3 linked regions of the Tribolium castaneum genome follow. Each later gene encodes a partner of the first gene's protein in a complex. Links are inferred from orthologs where the notes say so. Each region holds a gene or a part of one and is shown on either strand. Other genes may lie near its edges. The genes, in order: temp, RabGGTb and Ykt6.

The links.
Region 2: the proteins of temp (region 1) and RabGGTb are in contact, whole or in part, in a crystal structure (PDB 6O60), measured with the Homo sapiens proteins. The link is inferred for Tribolium castaneum from reciprocal best matches to the Homo sapiens genes PTAR1 and RABGGTB. Residues at the interface, in NP_001093136.1 of Homo sapiens: Val61, Lys62, Leu65, Pro66, His69, Leu73, Arg76, Leu97, Asn98, Asp100, Phe101, Thr102, Thr103, Asn106, Lys109, Glu110, Leu113, Ile141, Arg144, Trp145, Pro192, Ser193, Tyr195, Ser199, Ile202, Trp203, Gln206, Val231, Ser232, His234; in NP_004573.2 of Homo sapiens: Lys6, Asp36, Tyr37, Cys40, Met41, Glu43, Tyr44, Ile89, Gly90, His91, Asp92, Asp136, Trp138, Glu140, Phe177, Asp178, Gly182, Cys183, Arg184, Pro185, Gly186, Ser187, Glu188, Ser189, His190, Gln193, Trp217, Glu221, Arg222, Pro225.
Region 3: the proteins of temp (region 1) and Ykt6 are in contact, whole or in part, in a crystal structure (PDB 6J7F), measured with the Homo sapiens proteins. The link is inferred for Tribolium castaneum from reciprocal best matches to the Homo sapiens genes PTAR1 and YKT6. Residues at the interface, in NP_001093136.1 of Homo sapiens: Glu31, Gly33, Leu34, Ile35, Pro36, Val48, Val50, Glu51, Lys53, Leu54, Gly55, Ser58, Lys135, Tyr191, His225, Ser228, Met229, His230, Val231, Ser232, Asp233, Phe298, Asp301, Leu302, Ser305, Tyr306, His309; in NP_006546.1 of Homo sapiens: Met1, Ser29, Phe30, Phe31, Asn83, Glu84, Pro86, Gln131, Asn132, Pro133, Arg134, Gln180, Phe184, Arg189, Ser193.

The regions. Positions count from the first base shown.
Region 1 is NC_087400.1:985,926-993,764, reverse strand, and holds temp (protein prenyltransferase alpha subunit repeat-containing protein 1-B), read right to left. Parts: upstream 5,252-7,839; 5' UTR 5,032-5,251; coding exon 4,958-5,031; intron 4,911-4,957; coding exon 3,701-4,910; 3' UTR 2,060-3,700; downstream 1-2,059. Other genes in the region: MRG15 (mortality factor 4-like protein 1), read right to left, coding at 1-663, 715-832, 882-909; INO80 complex subunit B, read left to right, coding at 1,174-1,177, 1,225-1,595, 1,643-2,038; uncharacterized protein LOC135266778, read left to right, coding at 5,252-5,338; centrosome-associated zinc finger protein Cp190, read right to left, coding at 6,605-7,839.
Region 2 is NC_087395.1:14,838,112-14,844,752, reverse strand, and holds RabGGTb (geranylgeranyl transferase type-2 subunit beta), read left to right. Parts: upstream 1-3,676; 5' UTR 3,677-3,734; coding exon 3,735-4,736; 3' UTR 4,737-4,846; downstream 4,847-6,641. Other genes in the region: lipase member H-A, read left to right, coding at 1,612-1,760, 1,847-2,092, 2,143-2,334, 4,897-5,065, 6,016-6,073; serine/threonine-protein kinase grp, read right to left, coding at 6,121-6,300, 6,348-6,641. UniProt on the Homo sapiens protein: Catalyzes the transfer of a geranylgeranyl moiety from geranylgeranyl diphosphate to both cysteines of Rab proteins with the C-terminal sequence -XXCC, -XCXC and -CCXX, such as RAB1A, RAB3A, RAB5A and RAB7A.
Region 3 is NC_087398.1:3,639,729-3,646,272, reverse strand, and holds Ykt6 (synaptobrevin homolog YKT6), read right to left. Parts: upstream 3,141-6,544; 5' UTR 2,990-3,140; coding exon 2,800-2,989; intron 2,751-2,799; coding exon 2,479-2,750; intron 2,434-2,478; coding exon 2,296-2,433; 3' UTR 2,176-2,295; downstream 1-2,175. Other genes in the region: stc (protein shuttle craft), read left to right, coding at 1-486, 541-1,490, 1,574-2,117. UniProt on the Homo sapiens protein: Vesicular soluble NSF attachment protein receptor (v-SNARE) mediating vesicle docking and fusion to a specific acceptor cellular compartment. Functions in endoplasmic reticulum to Golgi transport; as part of a SNARE complex composed of GOSR1, GOSR2 and STX5.

The sequences.
Region 1 (7,839 bases):
CCCAGCTTGACGAACAGACGGAGCAAGTGAGTGGCACCGTACACCTCAGACATGGGCTTATCGGGGTAGGTTTGCAAGATATCGGCGTACTGGGGCCGCTCGAACTTGTACAAAAGTTGCGTCCCCAACATCACGTTAAAATACTCCTTGATGCCTTTGACGATTTCAATCGTAGCCGACTCTTTGCTGGAATTATTCGACTTGATTGACTTCTTGTAAGCGAGATAGTTGTCCAGAATTTGCTCGACTGTGACTTTTGCCGGCAAATTTGCGAGTTTTCGTTGTCTGGTAATTACGTCCCAGTCGTCCACCAACCAAGGTTTCAACTCGTCAGGGATTTTAACCTTGATTTCAACCTTATTCAAAAATTGCTCCTCGGACTCGACCGAGGGGTCCAACCGCCCCCTTTTCTTCCGGGGCACGTCTGAACCCGAGTCTTGCCCACTCGACGGTGTGCTTATTTTGCTCTTCCCCCCTTTGATCAGTTCATTATTTGGGGTACTAGATCTCGAGTCAATGTCTTTCGTGGCGTCGGTTTTACTCTTCTTGGCCTTTTTCGTCTTGCTGGGTTGAGTCGAGTGGGCTTTTTGCACCTCCTTTTGTCTCGCAACGTTGGCCTCGTTGTATTTGAGGACACGGCTTTCGGGCACCCATTCGTCCCAACTGCAAACACACGACTGTCAATTACAAGGCCCCCCGAAAACACTTACACACTTTTTGTTCCAACCAGCGTAATGGATAAAGTACTTCACTTGCTTGTCCTTGGTTATGGTCGACTTCAGACATTTGGCTTCGTAAATCAACGGGCCGTGGAAGCACAAAACCTTCTCGCCTGGAAAAGGGGTGTTTGGGCGGCTTAAGGGGGCGACCACGTGTCTTACCTTCGGAAAATTTAAACTTGGGGGGCATTTTCGGCTTCAAACAATTTTTTTTGTTTTGACAATTGACAGTTGGTTGTGGCTACCGGCACATTTGTGCCGGTTATAACGCGTCCCGGTGCCTTTATTTGTTATTTATTGTATTTTGTGAAACATTTATTTGCTTGATGATTGATTTGGGGCGAAATTGTGCCAGGGTTAGTTAATTATGATTGATTACAAGCCAGAAGTGGCTACGGTCACGCCATTTTGTCAACATAACCTAGCTTTAGACGGCGTTTGAATTTGGCTTGGAATGGGTGAGTTTGTTTAAATGTGCCCCCTGATCGTGTTATCGTGGGTTTAGAGTTGCAGAAATCGAAGAAAAGTAAGGTTAAGCGGAGGCCCCCTTTGCCGGAGGACGACACCTCCGGTGATTTGCTCATAGTGGACGAGTCTGGTGCTAAAACCAAGTCGCCGGTGAACAAGCCCCCGTCCGCATCGTCCTCTGGTAATAAAAAGCGCAAAAAACGCGACAGTGCCTCAAGTGACGAGGAACGGTGGCTCACTGCCATCGAGTCCGGGAAGCTTGAGGATGTTGACGACGAATTGAAGAAAATCAAGCCGAAGGACCCGGCCTTGATGACGGCGCGACAGCGCGCCATGTACGAGCGTGAGGTGGACGGGAGCCCCTCTGTGACCACCCCCACGTTAATGTCGCTCCCGACTGGATATAAAGTAATTCAGTTTGTTTCAATTCAAATAGTTTAGACTTGTTGGTTTAGGAGAAGGTCATGACGGCCGAAGCGATTCAAAAAGCGGCGATCAAGTCGCAGAAACGCAAACAACTGGCGGACGAAAAGCGCGAAAAGGATAAGAAGAAGACGATGGAAAGGCTGCTCAAAAAGCAGGAGTCGAAGGCGGCCAAAGCGGCGAAAAACAAAATCACCAAAGCGCAAACCCCCATGATTTTGTACCGTCAGAATGTTGGGTTAACGACAGTGTCGTTCCCGCAAGGGATGGACTGGCCCTTGCCGGGGGCGGGGGGCAAAGAGCCCCCGAAAGCCACACTGTGTAGCATGGGCTGTGGCAATGTGAAAAAATACTCCTGTTCGCGGACAAATGCACCGCTGTGCAGTCTAACGTGTTATAAAAGGAATATCGCTAGTCGGATTTTGTGAGGGGAAGGGAAAAAAGGCCAGTTTTGAGTCAGAGATACGGTAATTTATTTGTTTTACATTTGTTGGGTTGTGACTAGGCCACTTGGATGGCGCGTATTAATTTTCGAATCAAAGTGGCCCGAGCCAATCACAGGCCACTTTGATCAGTTATTGTTACCGGAAGGAAACATTGTATGTGACTCTGTCTATCTGACCTATTTTGGCACGTGTGGGGCGCCCCTAGCGGGAAACTTCCCCGAAATTTGTGCATCTTAAACAAATAAACTTTAAGGTACTGTTCGTTTGTACAGGGTGCTGCTTTTTGGGTGTCCGAAATTAAGAGGTTAGAGAAAAATTAGAGACACATTCTCGGGTCAAAACCGCATCTCCCGATCGTCTTTTGTTTTCGACTTATAAACAAAAATTGACATTTTAGCGAAATCTTAAAAAAATCATATCTTTCTTATTATAAAAGATACACGTTTGAAACAAAGACATTATACAAGCACTCTTTTCCGGAGAATTTAGTAATGTTATCAGCGATTTTTTTCAAAAATTCGTTTAACTGTAATAACATAAAGTTGTATTTTTTTAAATGGGAATCATAGTTGGCTATGACATTTTCGAAAAGCTTATTTTTTCTGAACTAAAGACGATATAAATACAGTTTGATATTTTTATATATTTTTGATAAAAATATATTTAAAATATTTGAAAGTAGTTGGCCATGGAAAAATTATTTCACATAAAAGGTGTAAATAATCTAGAAATTTTGTGACCGGATATTAAAGTAAAAAATGTGAAATTATAAAAATAAGTTAAAGTTATTTTCAATTGAACAAATATACGAACGTCGCAGATTTTAATTACATAAAAAATGTGCAGAAAATTGCAAACGATGTCTCACTACCACTTGATGCCACTTTTTTATGATTTAGTGCAATGGAGGTGACGTTGATAATGTTGTGTATTTTTTTACCGCAGATGGAATTTGATTTTGGTGTTTGGATTGACATTTTTTTGTAAAATAAAATTTTATTGATACGCAATCATACAATTAATAAGATTTTTCTTCTTCCGACATTTCTTGTTTAAAATTGGAAAATAGAATGACAACGTAAGCTTGCCATTTTAAATATAAAAACAAATAATTTTTATTAATTGCAAAAATTTGATCTAATAAAAATTTATTATGCTGTTTTTGAATTAATTAGGGTTCAAAAAAACATTAAATTATAAATACTTGTTGGGTAATACAATTTTCATAGTTTTAATTAAAAATCCAAAATTTTTTCATGGCCTACTATAAAGAAAAAGCGAAATTTTTTGTTTTTTCTTAAATATTCAAAATTAATGTATTACACAAATGGACATATCAAATCAGAAAAAAATAAGCTTTTCGAAAATGTCATAGCCAACTATGATTCTCATTTAAAAAAATACAACTTTATGTTATTACAGCTAAAGGAATGATTAAAAAAAATCGCTGATAACATTACTAAATTCTCTGTAAACGTCTTTGGTTCAAATGTGTATCTTTTATAATAAGGAAGATATAAAAAATAAACTTTTGTTTATAAGTCGAAAACAAAAGACGATAGCGAGATGCGGTTTTGACCCGTGAATGTGTCACTCGTTTTTCTCTAAACTCTCTCGACATCCATGCCGCACCCTGTACATTGATCACACATCTTCCATGCAAACGACGAATTTCAGCCACTTTTCGTACCGTCTTGCCAACTCAAGCTCGTGAAATTGTGCCGATTGTACGAGATTTTTCCGAATGAATTCAGCTTCGTTCTTGACCAAAGTCTGGTACAAGCGACACGACTGCACTTTATTTGGCTGACTTTTGAACAGTTTTGGTTGCTTTTCCCCGTCCACATTAACGATATTTGTCCCGTACAAAATCACTTCGTCCAGCTTTACGTCGGTTTTGAACGCCAAACCATGGTACTCATGGGCGGTTTTAACCAAATGGTAGACGAGAAACCGGCGGTGGTACCATATGGACTCGTGGTTGGGGTAGAGCGAGTTTAGCGTTTCCACAACGTTGTACAGGTCATAGAGTAGCAAACAGAAGAAATTGACGAAATTGATCGTCTCCTCCAGGGGTTTCCCCTGCGATTTCTCCTTCCCTAGCAGGAAGGTGAGGATGTCTCTTGGGTCATTCTCCCCAACTAAACCTAACAGTTTGACGGTTTCGCAAAAATAAAACTCGTATACGCTTGTAATGTTCCTACTTTTCCTAACCGTGTTGAACAAGTATTGTCTGTAGTGGAACCCCGTGTGTTCGGACACGTGTCCCGAGACCCATTTTTCGCTAAAGGTAAGCTCGTCCATTATCACGTTGAAGTTGGCGGTGCGGGCCCCCAGAGTCTCGAGACTCCACACGCGGTGGCTCCAAGCGTGGTAGTTGTTGGCGTTTTTTTGGGCCCCCATTTCGCACACCGCCAGCTCGTTTTCGAGCAAATTCCGGGGGGTTGTCAAGTCGTTGGCTTGCAGCTTGGCCAAGGTGCGCCCCAGGAGCCAGCGGCGGTACGCAAACGCCTCGTTTGATTTGCTCTTGTACGAGAGGACGAGTCTGGCGAAGAGGAGCTCGTTGGCGGCGCCAATGACGTCGTTTTCGACCAGTTCGCGTTTCATGTTCCAAAAGGTCGAAACGTCGGGGTTTATTAATAAAACTCCGATTAGGAGGCGGTTCAGGTTGTTTTGTTTCGAGAAGGAGAGTTTGCGTTTTGCGAGCAGTTTGCGTGTTTCGAACAGTTCTAGATAAGCGTATCGGTAGATGTGCTTCACACACCATGATTCGAGTCCGATGTTGTGTTCTTCGTACAAGACGGGCGATTTGTTTTTTGTGTTGCTTTCGCACGGGATTATTATGAAGTCTTTGCTGGAAGTTCAAGTTGGGAGAAAGTGCGGTTAGGGGAGGTGACTTACAGTAAGGGGTCGTTGGTTAGGATGGTTTCCAGTGTGTGTAAAATGCGCTGCGACATGGAATTGTCGTCTTCCATTTCGGTTGTGGTCGTGGTTCAGAGCGGGATAAACGAAATCAAAAAATATTTGGATTTTTTTTAACAATGTCAAATTGACATTTGGGGGACAGGGGTGGCAACTGGCACGCGTTTGCGCAAAAATTGGGGTATTTACGGGAATTTTTAATATCAAACGGTTTGCATTAGTTTTAGGCGAAGGTTTGCTAATAAATCCGATTTATTGTGTGGTTTGTTACAGAAAAAGGACACTGTTGGGAATTTTGGACGCACCAACATGACGGCTAAAAAGTTTCTAGGATTTCTACAGAGCGAAGCTACTGAGTGATCCAGAATGACTGATTCGGTTGGCAATTCTGATTTTTGTTCTAAGTGATTGTACTGTATTTATTGTAAAATAAACTTAAAAAACCATTAGGCTCTTTATTACACAAACCCGACCAACCTATCAAATTATCAAAAGTACACAGTTACTATTTTCATTACTCGTAAAAAAATGTTAGGTGTATTTCTTAATAAATCTGTGAGGAGGTTTTCCAGGGTATGTATCAGAAGCAGGTAAACAAATTTTTCGTTTTGTGGATTTTAAGAGTAATTTTGCAATTTTTCAAATTGTCGAAAAATGGTATTAGGATCACAGGAACGCAAAGAGGTGTTTCAGGTTTTACGCGGGAAAATTTTTACACCTCCTCGCATTTCTATGATCCTGATACAAAATCGCCATTTTTTTAAATGTAAATTTTTGGTAAAATTTTTCCACGTGTAACTTGAAAGACCTCCTCGCGTTTCTGTGATCCTGATACAAGTCTCGATATTTTTAAAATTAAATTTTTTTTCGAGACTTGCATCAGGATCACAGAAACGCGAAGAGGTCTTTTGTCATACGCGAAAAAAATTTGTAAACATTTCGGTTAAAAAAAAAAATGGCGATTTTGTATTAGGATCATAGGAGTGCGAGGAGGTGTAAAATTTTTTTGCCGCGAAAATCCCGAAACACCTCTTCGCGTTTCTGTGATCCTAATACGAAATCGCCATTTTTAAAAATTTAAATTTTTTGCAAAATTTTTTCCGCCTATGACAAAGGACCTCCTCGCGTTTCTGTGATCCTAATACAAGTTTCAAAAAATATTTAAATTTTAAAAATATTGTGACATGTATCAGGAGCACAGAAAAGCGAAGAGGTCTTTCAAGTTAAACGTGGAAAAATTTTGCTAAAAATTTAAATTTAAAAAAAATGGCGGTTTTGTATTAGGATCATAGGAATGTGAGGAAACCTCAAATTTTTCTCGCGTAAAACCCGAAACACCTTCACGTTCCTGTTAATCCTAATAACATTTTTCCAGGATCGTAATAAAAGTCTCGATAAAAATTTATTATCCTAAAGTGATAAATTTTTTTCCAAAAATTTAAATCAGAACTAGTATCAGGGCCACTGAAACGCCAAATGTTTTTAAACGAAAATAAAGAAACACGCATATTCTTTTAAATATATTTATTGTAAATAAAACTATAAAGTATAGTAAACTGATAAAACGCTTGACAATTCCTACAAATAAACGACCTCTAATAATATAGTGAATCCTTATTTACAAATTCATCCTTCACTATCTTTCTTATCATCTTCCTCCTCCTCCTCCCAATCGTCCATCAATTTATGTACCGTTTCCCCCGCAACCTTTTCCTTTTCCTTATTATCGGACTGTTGCGAATCAGTATCTTCCCAATCGTCCAAGATGGATATTTTCGTCGCTTCTACATCCTTATTTTGCGAATCTTGCGAAGACTGGGAATTTTCGTCGTTAAACTGACTAGTGGACGTGTCACTTTGTGACAACTCCTGCTCCACTGTATTATTTTCCTCGTGCGTTGTTTTCTCCTCTTCTATTTCCATAGGACAAGCTTCCGTGTTTGTCTCTTCCAACAGTTGCACTGCTGTTTCCTCCGTCTCATTTTTCTCAACCTCTTCCTCCCCTTTTTCTGGCGTGGGGGCTGGGACTACATCCCGCTCTCCCTCTTCTTCCCCCTTACTGTCGTCAGTTTTCCCCAATTCTTCTTCCTCCTCCTCCTTACTCTCGTCAGTTTTACTAATCTCTTCTTCTTCTTCTTCCTCCTTAACGTCGTCCGTTTTGGCAACCTCTTCTTCCCCCCCCTTTTCTTCTTCATTCACCTCCAACTGTTCATTTTGTTTGTCAGCAGGTTCTGGTTGTTCCGTTTCTTCCTCCTTTTTGTCACTTGTTTCTTGTTCGGTCTCCTTCGGTTCTTCAACCGGTTTTTCCGGCTCTTCAATGGTCAAAGGTGAGGTGAACTCGAGTTGGCTCCCTTGTGTTAAACTTTCAATGAGGGCATCATTTGGCGGAACTACAGCTTCTTTCTCCTTTTCTTCATCAACAATTGGTTTTTCTTCCTCCTTCAGTTCGCCACCGTGGCTCTCAATCTCCCTCTGGATCATTTCAATTGACTCGATCTGTGCTTCGGGCGGGTTCATGACCACTTGACTCGCCGTCGATGTAATTGTTGCCCCATTTCTGATTTCAATGAGACCGGTTTGTGAATTAACCATGATGTTGCCTTGGGAGGTTATGAACTGGTCTTGTTGCCCATCGACTGGGTGGCTGTACAGAACCACAATGTTGGAATTATCATTGGTTATCTCTTCCTGGTTATCGCCATAATCGTGGTCTGTTAGAACCATAACTAACTCATCAGTTGAAGTTATATCACCTGAGGAGAGCATTGACTGGGTTAGGACCCCTTGCGGGGTCATAACTTCGTTTTGATTTTGGGACAATTCTGGGAGAATAAACTCGGGCTGTTCCGTTTGGTTGTTGA
Region 2 (6,641 bases), on another chromosome or scaffold:
TAAAAATATACATTATTTTCCTGCTAGTTTCCTGTTAATAAGTCTGGATAGATATTAGTTTATCCTGATTTAAATTTTAACTCGGTTTCTGTAAATCGAACCTGAACCTTATTTTTATAAAATAAAAATACTTACTTTCTTTAGGTATTAATGTAGCTTCGTTTCTTAGAAAAAAAGCTGAATTTTTGCGTTTATTAACTTCAAACGATTTTTTTTAAGAATATACAATATTTTCCTGCTAGTTTCCTGTTAATAAGTCTGCATATTTATTAGTTTATCCTGATTTAAATTTTAATTCGGTTTCTGTAAATCGATCCTGAATCTTTTTTTAATAAAATAAAAATACTTTCTTTAGATATTATTGTAGCTTCGTTTCTTAGAAAAACAAGCTGAATTTTTGTATTTATTAATTTCATACGAATTTTTTTTTAAGAATATACAATATTTTCCTGCTAGTTTCCTGTTAATAAGTCTGGATAGATATTAGTTTATCCTGATTTAAATTTAAATTCGGTTTCTGTAAATCGATCCTGAATCTTTTTTTAATAAAATAAAAATACTTACTTTCTTTAGATATTATTGTAGTTTCATTTCTTAAAAAAAAAAGCTGAATTTTTGTGTTTATTAACTTCATACGATTTTTTTTTAAGAATATACAATATTTTCCTGCTGGTTTCCTGTTAATAAGTCTGGATAGATATATCACATTATATTTAAAATGTGAAAATATTACTAGTATGACTCGTCCTCGTTAACAAACTTGTTAAACAACTACTAATGTTTTCGTATTTTTATTTTCTTCCGTTCGATATATGAAAAAACATTTTACGATATGAAGATCGAAAACTAAAACAATGACAACTTGCTAATTTAAACTTCATTTTTAATTTCAACTAGGTATTTGATTAAAAAAATTAAGTGTCAATCCAGTCAATACAAATATTTGCATTTGATTCCAAACTATGTATTTATCAATAATATAAGCAGACAAATTCCAACATCAGTGAAGATATTCAGAATGCACAATATAAATTTATAATGGAGATAAAATGCGTGAGATATTCGAAGAAAATATGCTAAAGATTCCAGGATTTCAGTCCGGATAAGTATTGAACTTCTTCAAAACACAAAAAATTAACCGTTACATTGGCCAATTTAAAAAATCTCACGCTGTTTTATGACGAAATGTGAAAGAATCAACCGTATGTATAATTACACATTCAAAAATAAACACAATTAAATTTTTAATAGCAAAGTCAAGAGAAACAAACCAGAAACACTTTGAACTAGTTTCTCAAGTTGAATTTTCTTTCATTTTAGCTCGAGTTACACATATTTCAATTAAAATCTCTCGCGTTTATCTCAGCTTGGAGTAAAAAGGCGCAATTCTGCTCTTAATAGATCAAATTGCTTTTGCAACGCTTTAAGATGTTTGCGTTACACTCTTACATTTTTGCAAAACAAAGCAACCTTGTTTCCTTTTCATTACCTCACTCCGACTCTAGTCAGGGATAAAATTAAAAAACCAGCCTCGCTCACACTACTAACACACTTTTGCGAATTTTGAGCGAAGCGGGCCATCGCCGAATATTGACCCTGACTCTCTTCCAGCGAGTCGGGCACCAGAAGACTGAGAATAGATTTAAGGAACTACCACTCGCTGGAGTACTCCGGGTTCGTCCCCTCGCGGAAAAACGCGATCATCATCCACGGCTTCAACGGGACCGAGAGCAAGACCCCCATGACCATCCTGAGAAACGGTAAGGGGAGGAAGTCAGCGCTTTCTTCCGCAAACCGCATGACGCCACGAATTCGGCGTTTTGTTAATTAATTTAAAATTCGGCAGCGTATTTGTCTCGCAACGATTACAACATCTTCACGGTCGACTGGATGCCGCTCGCGAAGTTTCCCTGCTACCTATCGGCCTTATCAAACATGAAGCTAGTCAGTCAGTGTACGGCTAAATTGTACGCTTTCATAATGGAGAACGGAGGCGATGCCCGCGAAACGACCTGCGTCGGCCACTCTCTGGGGGCGCACATCTGCGGCATGATAAGCAACCATCTGGACGTCAAGCAGCACAAGATCGTCGGTAGGTTGCCACAAAAGTTACTTTTTGCGAGCTGAGTTGGGCTTATCCAGGACTGGATCCGGCGCGGCCGCTCATCAATCGATACGGAGACAAGTACTTCAGACTCACCAAAGACGATGCCCACCAAGTACAAGTCATTCATACCAATGCGGGGGTCCTGGGGGAGGTCAATCAAGTGGGCCATATTGATTTCTGCGTCAACGGGGGGCAGATGCAGCCGGGGTGCAAGGGGCACATTTTACGTAAGTATTTGGAGCAATTAATTTATCAAAGTCCGGGGCATTATCTGTGCGATATTTTTTAAACGCTGACATGACTTATGGCTTCGGTCGGCTTTCTTCGCTGCAGTAAATGCAGTAATAATGACCCAGTTGTTAAAGATAAACGAACGGAGGCAATAATTAATCTGATTTGTGAAATCGGTGAGAATTTTAATTATTGTACTTTAATCGATTTTGATAGTTGCATGTCTACAATTAAAAAAGATACGGGTAATAGCTAAAGCGTGTCCTGGGAATTTCTTCGTAAATTTTTATCAAAATTTTTATATTTAAAATGAGGTAATAATAAGAAATTAAAGCGGCACCCAATCAAAAAATCGTCTGCAGCGAATATTATATCTGGTAAAAATTTCATCAAAATGGCTTATGAGATCTCAAAATCTCCTAAAATACACAAAACGTGAGGCTAACTTGACTTGTGTAATAGCTGTAGGAATTTCAGGCAACAAACCTTCAAGGGACTCGTTTTTTTTCGTAGTCTCCTCCTCGATGCCCAATTAATTAACATTTTAATTATCAATTATACCAACGCAAACTCGAGTTAGAGGGGAATTCGCGTTTTAAATAACCCTTCAAAACAAAGTTTGTTAATTAAAAACTCTGTTTGAAGAGACGACACTGTCAACTTTTTCATGACAAAAAAGCTGTAAGAAGAGGAAAAAATGAAATATCAATCTGACAGGCATGGTTGATATTAGCGAGGAAAATTAATTGTGTAAGAGGTGGCTTTAGCGTGTTGGTGGAAAATTTTTCCTGCTCTTCACACTTTCACGCAATTTTGCCATTTTTCAGCACCTACAATTGGAACGAATTAATTTGCATTATTTAACTGACAACGAATTTTAAACAAGTGAAAAAACACGCTGGAACCTTTGCTTTGAGGGACAATAAAAAGCCAACATGTTTCGGTGTTTTTGTTGGAAAAGTGGAAAACATGGACGAGGATAGGGATGCATAAAATTTGCGAAATCAATAAAAAGAAACGCAGAAAACTCGTCTGAATTCGTGTTATTTATTTCGTTATATCTAAAGTAATCGCCAGTTGTTTCCATTATCACCACTGAGAGAAAAAAACTAAAAAATTCCCATAAATGGAAATTTTTGAAACGAAACGAAAAACAGTGAAACCTGTACTATTATTACTTTCGTCTTCGCAATAATCGATTAATCTGACCGCATTTATGATTGAATGCTACCTTGGTAATCAAACTACTGGTTACTTTCACCGTTTGACTAGCAATGAGGTTTTCAAAACGGGCGGCAAAAATTTTGAACTTTTTCAAACTGTCAGTGTTGCCAAGCCACCGACCCCAACACGCCACTTGTCATCTTGACAGCAAATATTGTGGTTATGTTTGACAATGGCAACACCAATAAAAGACGTGATTTTGAAAGAAAATGCGCCAGTTACGATACTTTTCGACAAACACATCGAATTCCTGCGGGACTACGGCAAAGACGACAACAATTTCGAGTTCGGTATGACGGACTACCTCCGCGTTTCCGGCATGTACTGGGGCTTAACAGCGCTGGAGCTCCTCGACCAGACACATTCCTCGCCTCAGGAAGAGATCGTCACTTATATCAAAAACTGCCAAGACCCGGAAACGGGCGGAATCAGTGCGTGCTTGGGGCACGACCCACATTTGCTCCACACTTTGAGCGGCGTTCAGATTTTAGCAATGTACGACCGATTGGACGCAATTGATGTCGAGGCTGTTGTGAAATACGTCAAGTCGTTGCAACAACCCGACGGAAGTTTTACGGGAGACAAATGGGGCGAAGTTGATACGAGGTTTTCGTTTTGTGCGGTGGCCACCTTGTCTCTGCTCAAGAGACTGGACGCTGTTGACGTCGACAACGCCGTGAAATTTGTCGAGTCTTGTATGAATTTCGACGGAGGGTTCGGCTCGCGGCCGCTGTCGGAGAGCCACGCGGGGTTGATTTACTGTTGTCTGGGGTTTTTGTCAATAACCCACCGTCTTGACTTGGTGAAGAGGGACGTTCTAGCGTGGTGGCTGTGCGAGAGACAGCTACCGTCGGGGGGCCTCAACGGCCGGCCGGAGAAGCTCCCCGACGTTTGCTACTCGTGGTGGGTTTTGTCCTCCTTGACTATTTTGGGGCGACTTCATTGGATAAGTGGCGAGAAATTAAAAAAATTCATTCTGGCGTGTCAAGACACCGAAACTGGGGGCTTCGCAGACCGGCCTGGCGACGTGCCTGACCCTTATCACACTGTTTTCGGCCTTGCGGCCCTATCGCTGCTCGGCCAAGCCGAAATCAAAAACGTCAATCCCACTTACTGTATGCCGCAACACGTTATTGATAGCATGCAACTATCGCCTCAAATATTACGTGATTAAAATTGATAGATCCAACCTTATATGCTAATTTTGATAAGTTTTAGCCCGCACGTGATTTTAATGTATATTGGTTTAATTTTATAATGATAATAAAGCCGATTTCTAAGTGATTTGTGTTTTGTTTGGACTGCGGTCCGCATAATTGATTTTGATGATTTAGGTCGAGCCCGGTGTAGCCATTTTCAAAGTGCCTGCTTTTTCTCCACAACTATACGGAAAACGAACGCGCATTTAGGGCGGCCGTGTGTCACCACCTGCCCCAAGAAGTCCTCAAATTGGGGGTACTTGCCCGGGAAGCCGGTCCCCATGGGAGAAGACACACCGTTTGGGTGGGTATTCAAGTCTTACTCATTATCACTGCTTTCAAATTAAAACTAGAGTCTCAATAACTTTTGATATTGAGTAAATATTACTTCAAACAAAAACAGCTCAATTAGTTTAGTTATTTATTTAGTAAATTTTTAAATCCCCTTAATTTTTTGAAACATTTTTGAATAGTTGGCGCTTTGTTTTCAAATCAAGGTTGATTTTTGAGTTTTGATCCCAGTAGCCCCCAATTTTATACAAATTTAATAAAAAAAATGAAATATGATGATTCCAAGGTAGTGTAAACTCGTTTAAACTACTTTTTTAAACGTGGAAAAAACTATTTATCCGTAGTAAAATAAGCTTTGTCGATGCGTACATAAGCTAGGGATGTTTTATTTTAAGAAACATCTGAATGTATCGAAAAAACATGTCGTTTAAGGTGTTCTGGTAACTTTTTGCTTTTACGGAAAGATAACGTTTTCCCACCCCGTCAAAATGGTTCAAAAAGTAGGTGATGCAGCGTAAGGTGTAATTAATTTTCGTTTTGAACTAATCAATCCTAAAATCGACGTGTTGAGGAAAATATAATTTCCCACAAGAGTAGTATTTGTTTTCAGCACTCCCTCCACTCGTGCTGTATAGATTGTAAATATAGGAAATTGCTTACAATGAATAACTCAAAAAATAAACAAATAAAATTTCCTTTTTTTCGCTGATGGAATAATAACAGATTAAACTAGTGCACTAAAATTTCCAAATGTCATTTCTCGTAAAAAATCATCGTATCTTGACGATGGGACACCATATAATAAACGTCCCTAGACCTTATAGCAAAGCAAAAAAAAACTGTGAAGTAAGGGAAATAAGTATGACATAAAAGTTATGGACACAAAAAAATATTTACTCAATACCAAAAATTATTGAGACTGGCTAGTCTTGAAATGAAAGCACTGTACGATATTTTTTGCAGGATCAAAGGAATGTTTTGCGTGGATACTCACTCAAATTCCGACTGTCCGTTCGAATAATATTTTTTAATCATTTAATATAAAAATACAAAAACAAGGAACTAGAATTATTCATTTTTTTCAACAATATCGTCAAGGCACTCTTTCAGTTTTTTGAACTTCTTTTTAAATTCGATACCACAGCCCTTTGATAGGCGGAAATCCACTAGAATTTTCCCCTGTATTTCGATGACGTTCGTCTTAAACATGAGTTGATTTTTCATAATATCAACAGTTGAAATCGTGACCTGAAACCCCGACTTATTAAAGCCCCAAACGAAACTGCCAAACTTACAGCTCCGTTGCCATCAATCTGCCAATTATAATGAAAAGTATCTAGAACAGAGCACAAAACTTCCAAAGTTTTCTCGTAATTAGTGGTAACATAAAATCTCGTCATTCTCTTAACTAGATTATTAAAGTTATCTTTGGTGAGTGGAGTCTCATTGAATTGAATTTGGGAGCTCAGAAGCATATCGTCGTTATGAGTGGGCTGCGAGAAGCACACAAGTTCGCGGTTTGTCCTGAGATCAGTCACCAGCTGGTCTATAGACGGCGGACGCACGGCTGGAGTCGGCTGAGACAATAT
Region 3 (6,544 bases), on another chromosome or scaffold:
TGTGACCACAAATGCACCATTCTGTGCCACCCGGGGCCCTGTCCCGACTGCAACGTCATGGTGGCAAAGCCCTGCGGTTGTGGGGCCACCACACAAACAGTCAAATGTAGCGCTGATACCGAAATTGTTTGTGGCGCTATCTGTGGAAAAAAACTCTCATGTGGGGTCCACGAATGCGGGGCGAAGTGCCACGTGGGGCCATGTATGGAATGCGATAGAGAGTTGAGACAGATTTGTTATTGTGAGAAGGTGGGGCGTAAAGTGAAATGTAGGGAGGAGTTTAAAGGAGCGGTGAATTATTCGTGTGGGGAGGTTTGTGGGCGGGGCTTGAGTTGTGGGAATCACACGTGCACTAAAGTGTGTCACGAGGGGGATTGTGAGGCGTGTCCGAGAGATGTGGGGGTGGTTAAGACGTGTCCTTGTGGGAGGAGCGAATTGAAGAAGAGAAGAGAATCATGTCTGGATCCTATACCGTGCTGTGATAAAGTTAGTATGATTGAATTAAATTATGTTTTTGATTAATTTAATAAATTGTTATAGATTTGTGGGAAAATCCTAAATTGTGGGCAACCGGCAGCCCCCCACTCCTGCAAACTTCCATGTCACGAGGGTCCGTGCCCCCCATGCCCCCTTACGACCTTGATTCGTTGTCGTTGCGGTCACATGGACCGGGAAATCCCCTGCGGACAAGTAACGACGAAAGCCGACGATGCCCGATGTGAGAAAAAATGTACCAAGAAACGCCTCTGTGGCAAACACCGATGCAATCAACGTTGTTGCATCGAAATCGAACACATTTGTCCCCTCCCATGCAATCACATGCTCGCTTGTGGCCAACACCGTTGCGAGAGGACGTGTCACAGTGGGCGGTGCCCACCTTGCGTGGAAACAAGTTTCGACGAATTGTATTGCGAATGCGGAGCTAACGTCTTATACCCGCCCATTCCATGCGGCACAAAACCGCCCCCTTGCAATAATCCATGTTCCAGGCCACGCCCATGTGGCCACGAAGCCAATCATGCGTGCCACACAGGGGCGTGTCCACCGTGTACCGTTTTGTGCAAGAGGTGGTGTTACGGCAAACACGAGCAGAGATCGGCTATTCCCTGTTATCAGGAGGATTTCAGTTGTGGATTACCGTGTGGGAAGGCCATGCCGTGTGGGGCACATAAGTGTGACAAGGCGTGTCATTTGGGGGCGTGTACGTTGCCATGCAAACAGAAATGTAACGTGAAGAGAGTCCAATGCGGGCATCCGTGCGGGGTCACGTGTCACGAAGGGCCGTGTCCTGACACGCCCTGTAGGCAAATGGTGCCGGTCACGTGCCCCTGTGGCTTGCAGAAAGCAACAAGGCCTTGCATCGAGTTGGCTGAGGCGTATAAGGAGATCGAAATGGCGCATTTGAAGGACAAAATGGCCGATTTGTTGAAGGATCAAGCTGTGGACATCAGCGATATCAACAAAGCCAAAAGGCCGTCGGTTTTGAAAATGTAAATAGATATTTTTGCATTTATTGTAATTATTTCAAAAAAAAGTTCGTAGATAATAAAAAAAAATTTTTTTTGTTTTCCAGATTGGAGTGCACCGAAGAGTGTCGGGTTCTGGAGCGCAACCGGCGGCTGGCTATCGGTCTGCAGATTCGCAACCCGGATTTGAGTCAAAAACTGACTCCTCGTTACTCCGATTTTATGCGAAATTGGGCGAAAAAAGACCCGCAGTTTTGCCAAAAAGTGCACGAAAAGCTCACCGAGTTGGTCCAATTGGCTAAGCAGAGTAAACAAAAGAGTCGTTCGTATTCTTTTGAGTCAATGAACAGAGATAAGAGACATTTCGTGCACGAGTATTGTGAGCATTTTGGGTGTGAAAGCGCCGCCTACGATGCGGAACCCAACCGAAATATCGTTGCAACTGCCTTTAAGGACAAGTCGTGGTTGCCGAGTATGAGTCTATTGGAGTTTATTCAGAGGGAAAATGGGCAGAGGAAGGTTCCAGGGCCGGTTCTGAGCAAAGGGACGTTGGGGAAGTCGGAGACCGTTGCCTTGAAATTGCCTGGAAGGGGGCAGAGGGGAACGCCATCAGGAGAGACCGTGGATTATTTCGATAACCCCCCAGTGTAATGTTTTATAACGTATTATGTTTAGTATTTTTGAAGGTTAATAAATTGGTTTGTAAAAATCCGGTCATTACATTTATTGTCGTAAATATACATTCAACATTTAACGGTTATTAGTAGGAATAATATATGAACATCCAAACTTCCAGGCTGTTAAATAATTGGGGTAAATAAGGAATGATTTAACTAAACGTGCAACAGCTGTTGGTTTTGCGAGCCGTTTTGTAAAACGCCTTTGACTGTATACTTAAACCTTCCGACTTTGACACCAAATCGTCCAGCTTTTCGCCGCGTTGAAGCACACTTTCAATTGCGTGATGCTGGAAAATTAGTTGTGGAAATTGTCATTTGACACAACCACTTACTAGAATTATTTTAGTCTCATCGAGATCCTCTTGAATTTTAGTCATAGCGTCAGCTTCGCGCGGATTTTGGTATTTGGATAAGTAAGTGTTGAGTTGCGGAAACGCCACTTCGCGTTCTGTTAAATTGGGCCAACTTGAAGCCGGGATTTTTTGGCTAAATTCGTCCAAAATCTTTGTAATTAAAGTGTGTGAGACCCGTGTTGGGTACTCGTGATCTGATATAACAACGCCGGCTAAATTATCGGATCTCACATAAACGTGACACATATACTCTGAAAAAGTGTTACATTATTTGTGTAAATAAATGCTTGTGGAAAAAACCTCCTTCCTTTACGGACTGTCGTGACGCTGGTATTGTTCTCTCGACGATTGTTTTACAAAAAAAAGTCATGAATTCTTCCACTGATCCCCGTTGAAAAAAACTGAAACTTTGTAGGTCAAAGGCTGATTTTAACCATGTTGCACTCGTAGGTCCTTTATACAAAACACTAATACAGTATAACTTGACCATATTTAACGATTTTTCGGGAATTAGAACGGAATTATATAAGACATGCCATCGTACACATTTCTTGAGCTTTCTAAAAGTTAAATCACGAATAGGATTTACGCCAAAGCAATTAAACAAACATAATTTGCCAATAAACACGAACGAATAATAAAATTTGACAGGTGATAATTTTTGACTGACGGATGACGTTGAGCCAGGTCAACCAACCTTCCTATTTTCCTATTTTAATTGAATAGGATAATAATTAAAAACGGAATCATATAAGAGAATAAATTACAAATAACAGCACCCGTGATTTTCGCTTTGAACTGATTTGTCCCGTTTTTATAACTTGTATTTTCCAAAATTTTGGTAACCAAAACCATACACGGTTACCAACAACCATTACTGCTGTCAATTTTGATAAAAGTTTTAAATAATTAAAGATTTTAATTAATGCTTGACCAACACGTCTAATTTCTATTAACACCGCAAGTAGGGTAATATGGGGGACAGCGGCATTTGCAAAATCAAGCCCGAGTAAGACTGCTCATTTTCCCACGTGATATAACCCCACATTTCACCCTTATTTTAGATTTATTCTCACAGAACGTCCAAGAGAATTGGCATTAGAGTGCGTTTCTGATAAAGACAAACGCAAATTGGCCGAAAACGATGAGACACCGCCCGAAAAAAAACCCAAATTATCAAAAAGCGAAAAGAAAAAATTACGGGGTCAGAATAAATCGCGCGGTCCTACTTTTAGGTGCACCCGAGAGACGGAATTATGTAACACTTTGATTAACTTAAGTATTGGCGAAAAGGCGCCGAAATGTGAACGCAAAAATTGCCAGTTTTTGCACGACGTTGACGAATATTTGAAAATCAAGCCAAAAGATATCGGTTTATTTGTGCTTGTGCATTAATTTGGGCTTAATTCTTGGTTTTAGGAGAGATTTGTTACAATTATGAAACTTTCGGACGGTGTGGCAGAGGTCTGGCTTGTAGGTTTGGTTCTAGTCACATTGACCAAGGCCGAAATAAAATCAATTCGGAAAAATTGGTAGAAACAGCGCAAGCAAAAAATCAGTTAACGCACGAACTACAAGTCGCGTTACGCAAACGGACGTATAATTTTGACTTCGCCGAGAGTTTAATTAAATTCAATGACAATAAGAAAAGTGTAATTATTTTGTACTACTTTTACTCGTTTTATTTAAATTTGGGTGTTTAGGACGATAATAAAACAAGTGGGGCCATTAGTGATGAAGACTTGATTAAATTGACTCAACGAGAAAAAAAAAAAAATCGACTGGAGGGACAAACTAGTCTTGAGCCCTTTAACAACAGTTGGCAATTTACCGTTCAGACGAATTTGTAAAGAATTCGGGGCTGATGTAACCTGCGGTGAAATGGCAATGTGTTCTTCGCTTCTGCAAGGGGCCCCTCAGGAGTGGGCCTTGGTGAAGCGCCACCACAGTGAGGACATTTTCGGGGTTCAATTGTGCGCAAACAACCCGCATTTGTTGACCAAGTGCGGCCAAGTGTTGCAACAAGAGGCCGAAATTGACTTTATCGATCTAAATCTAGGGTGTCCGATTGAATTAGTGTATAAAGAAGGGGGCGGTTGTGGGTTGTTAAGACGCCAAAGAGTTTTGGAGTCCTGTATTAAAAATCTCAGCCAGTTACTGACAATTCCAATGACTGTCAAGACCCGAACTGGGGTTTATAGTAACGAAAATTTGGCGCATATTTTGGTAAATAAATAATTATGCAACAAGTGCGTAAAGTAACACTTTTTTAACGAGCTAAAAAGAGATACTTTACTCACGAGTTGGATACATTTTTTCTACGTTTTATTTGGTTCGTAGGCCCCGAAATTCCGCGACTGGGGGGCTAGCCTTATCACAATTCATGGACGCTCGCGTGAGCAGCGTTACACCAAACTCGCCGACTGGACCTACATCAGACAGGTGGCCCAGGCGGCAGCCCCTTTGCCGGTTCTAGGCAATGGCGATGTTTTGAGTTACGAAGACTACAAAATAGCACGTGAGACGTGCCCCGAATTGGCGGGGGTCATGATCGGGCGGGGGGCCCTCATCAAGCCCTGGATTTTCACCGAAATTAAGGAACAAAAATTGTGGGACATTAGCAGTTCTGAACGTTTCGATCTTTTGAAAAAGTACACAAATTACGGCTTGGAACATTGGGGTTCTGACAATAAAGGGGTGGAAAACACGAGACGCTTTTTATTGGAGTGGTTGTCGTTTTTGCACAGATATGTTCCGGTGGGTTTGTTGGAAAAACCGCCCCAGAAAATCAACGAGCGGCCCCCTTTCTACCAAGGGCGGGACGACCTTGAGACGTTAATGGCGTCCACGTCGGCCAGCGATTGGGTCAAAATCAGCGAAATGCTCCTAGGGCCTGTGCCCGAAAATTTCCAGTTTTTACCCAAACATAAGGCGAATTCTTACAAATAAATTTTTGAAATTGCTTGGGATGTTTCATTTTGTTGTGTTGGTGCCAAGCGTGCCAAGGATGTCATCCCTAGGATAACACTTTTATAGAAGCGGAACATAATGGTTGGCAATGAATTCCTAGCTGAAGCCATCTAGCCGCATCATCACGTACTAAAAATGGCGCGAATTTAAAATAATTCCGATTACTTTATATTTTTTTAATTTTTGCTCACGTCAAAATGATGTCAATACCTTATCAAATACAATTATTATGAAAATTTCTTAATTGTATTTGAAAAGGTGGATGCACAGACAGCACAGATGGAAGAATTTTACCCAACATGACACGATCACATTTAATGTTAAAGATATTTATTAAATCCATTAAGTTTACGAAACTAATAGTGGTCACCGAATCGATGATAAAATAAAGACATACTTGCAATCAGCCAAACTGGCACCGGTCTGGCACCTTATGTTTGCAACTTCTGTCTATGGGAGTCTCCTCGCAGTGTGACTCACTTGCGGTTCGATCTCAAAAAACTCACTTTTGGGAAAAACGCACCTATCTACGTAAACCTTCTGGAGCTCATTACTACGTTATATTTTTGGAGATCATGTTGTTCCTAACCGATAGTAGGCAATAGTCTAACCTAAAGACGACACCTTGATCCACTATAATAATAAAAATTAACGTGATATTATAAAAAATAAACTCAAATTAAAATCAACAAAAATGGCGATTCAAGTAAAAAGTGAGTGAAAATAAAAATTATTTTTCTAATGTTATTTTCAATTTGCACAAGAAAATTCATAGTGTACGGTCATCAGGGCACTCAGAGGAATCGTTTGGTGTAAGTTTCAGCTTGAAAATCCAGAAGTAGTTAAAGTAAAAAATTACCAAGTTATACTTTATGTTTTATTACGTGGTAAAGTTAACAACACACGTTAACATACCCTTTATAAACGTTTAAACACCCTTTTTCATGAAAAGGTTGACACGAGAAGTGCATTTTTCAATAAATCTCACTGAAATTTATGTCGTTGACTCAAGGTAGATTTGTCTGTCCTTAAACATGTTCAATAATAATTAATAGCGCTCTAGAAGAGCAGGAAA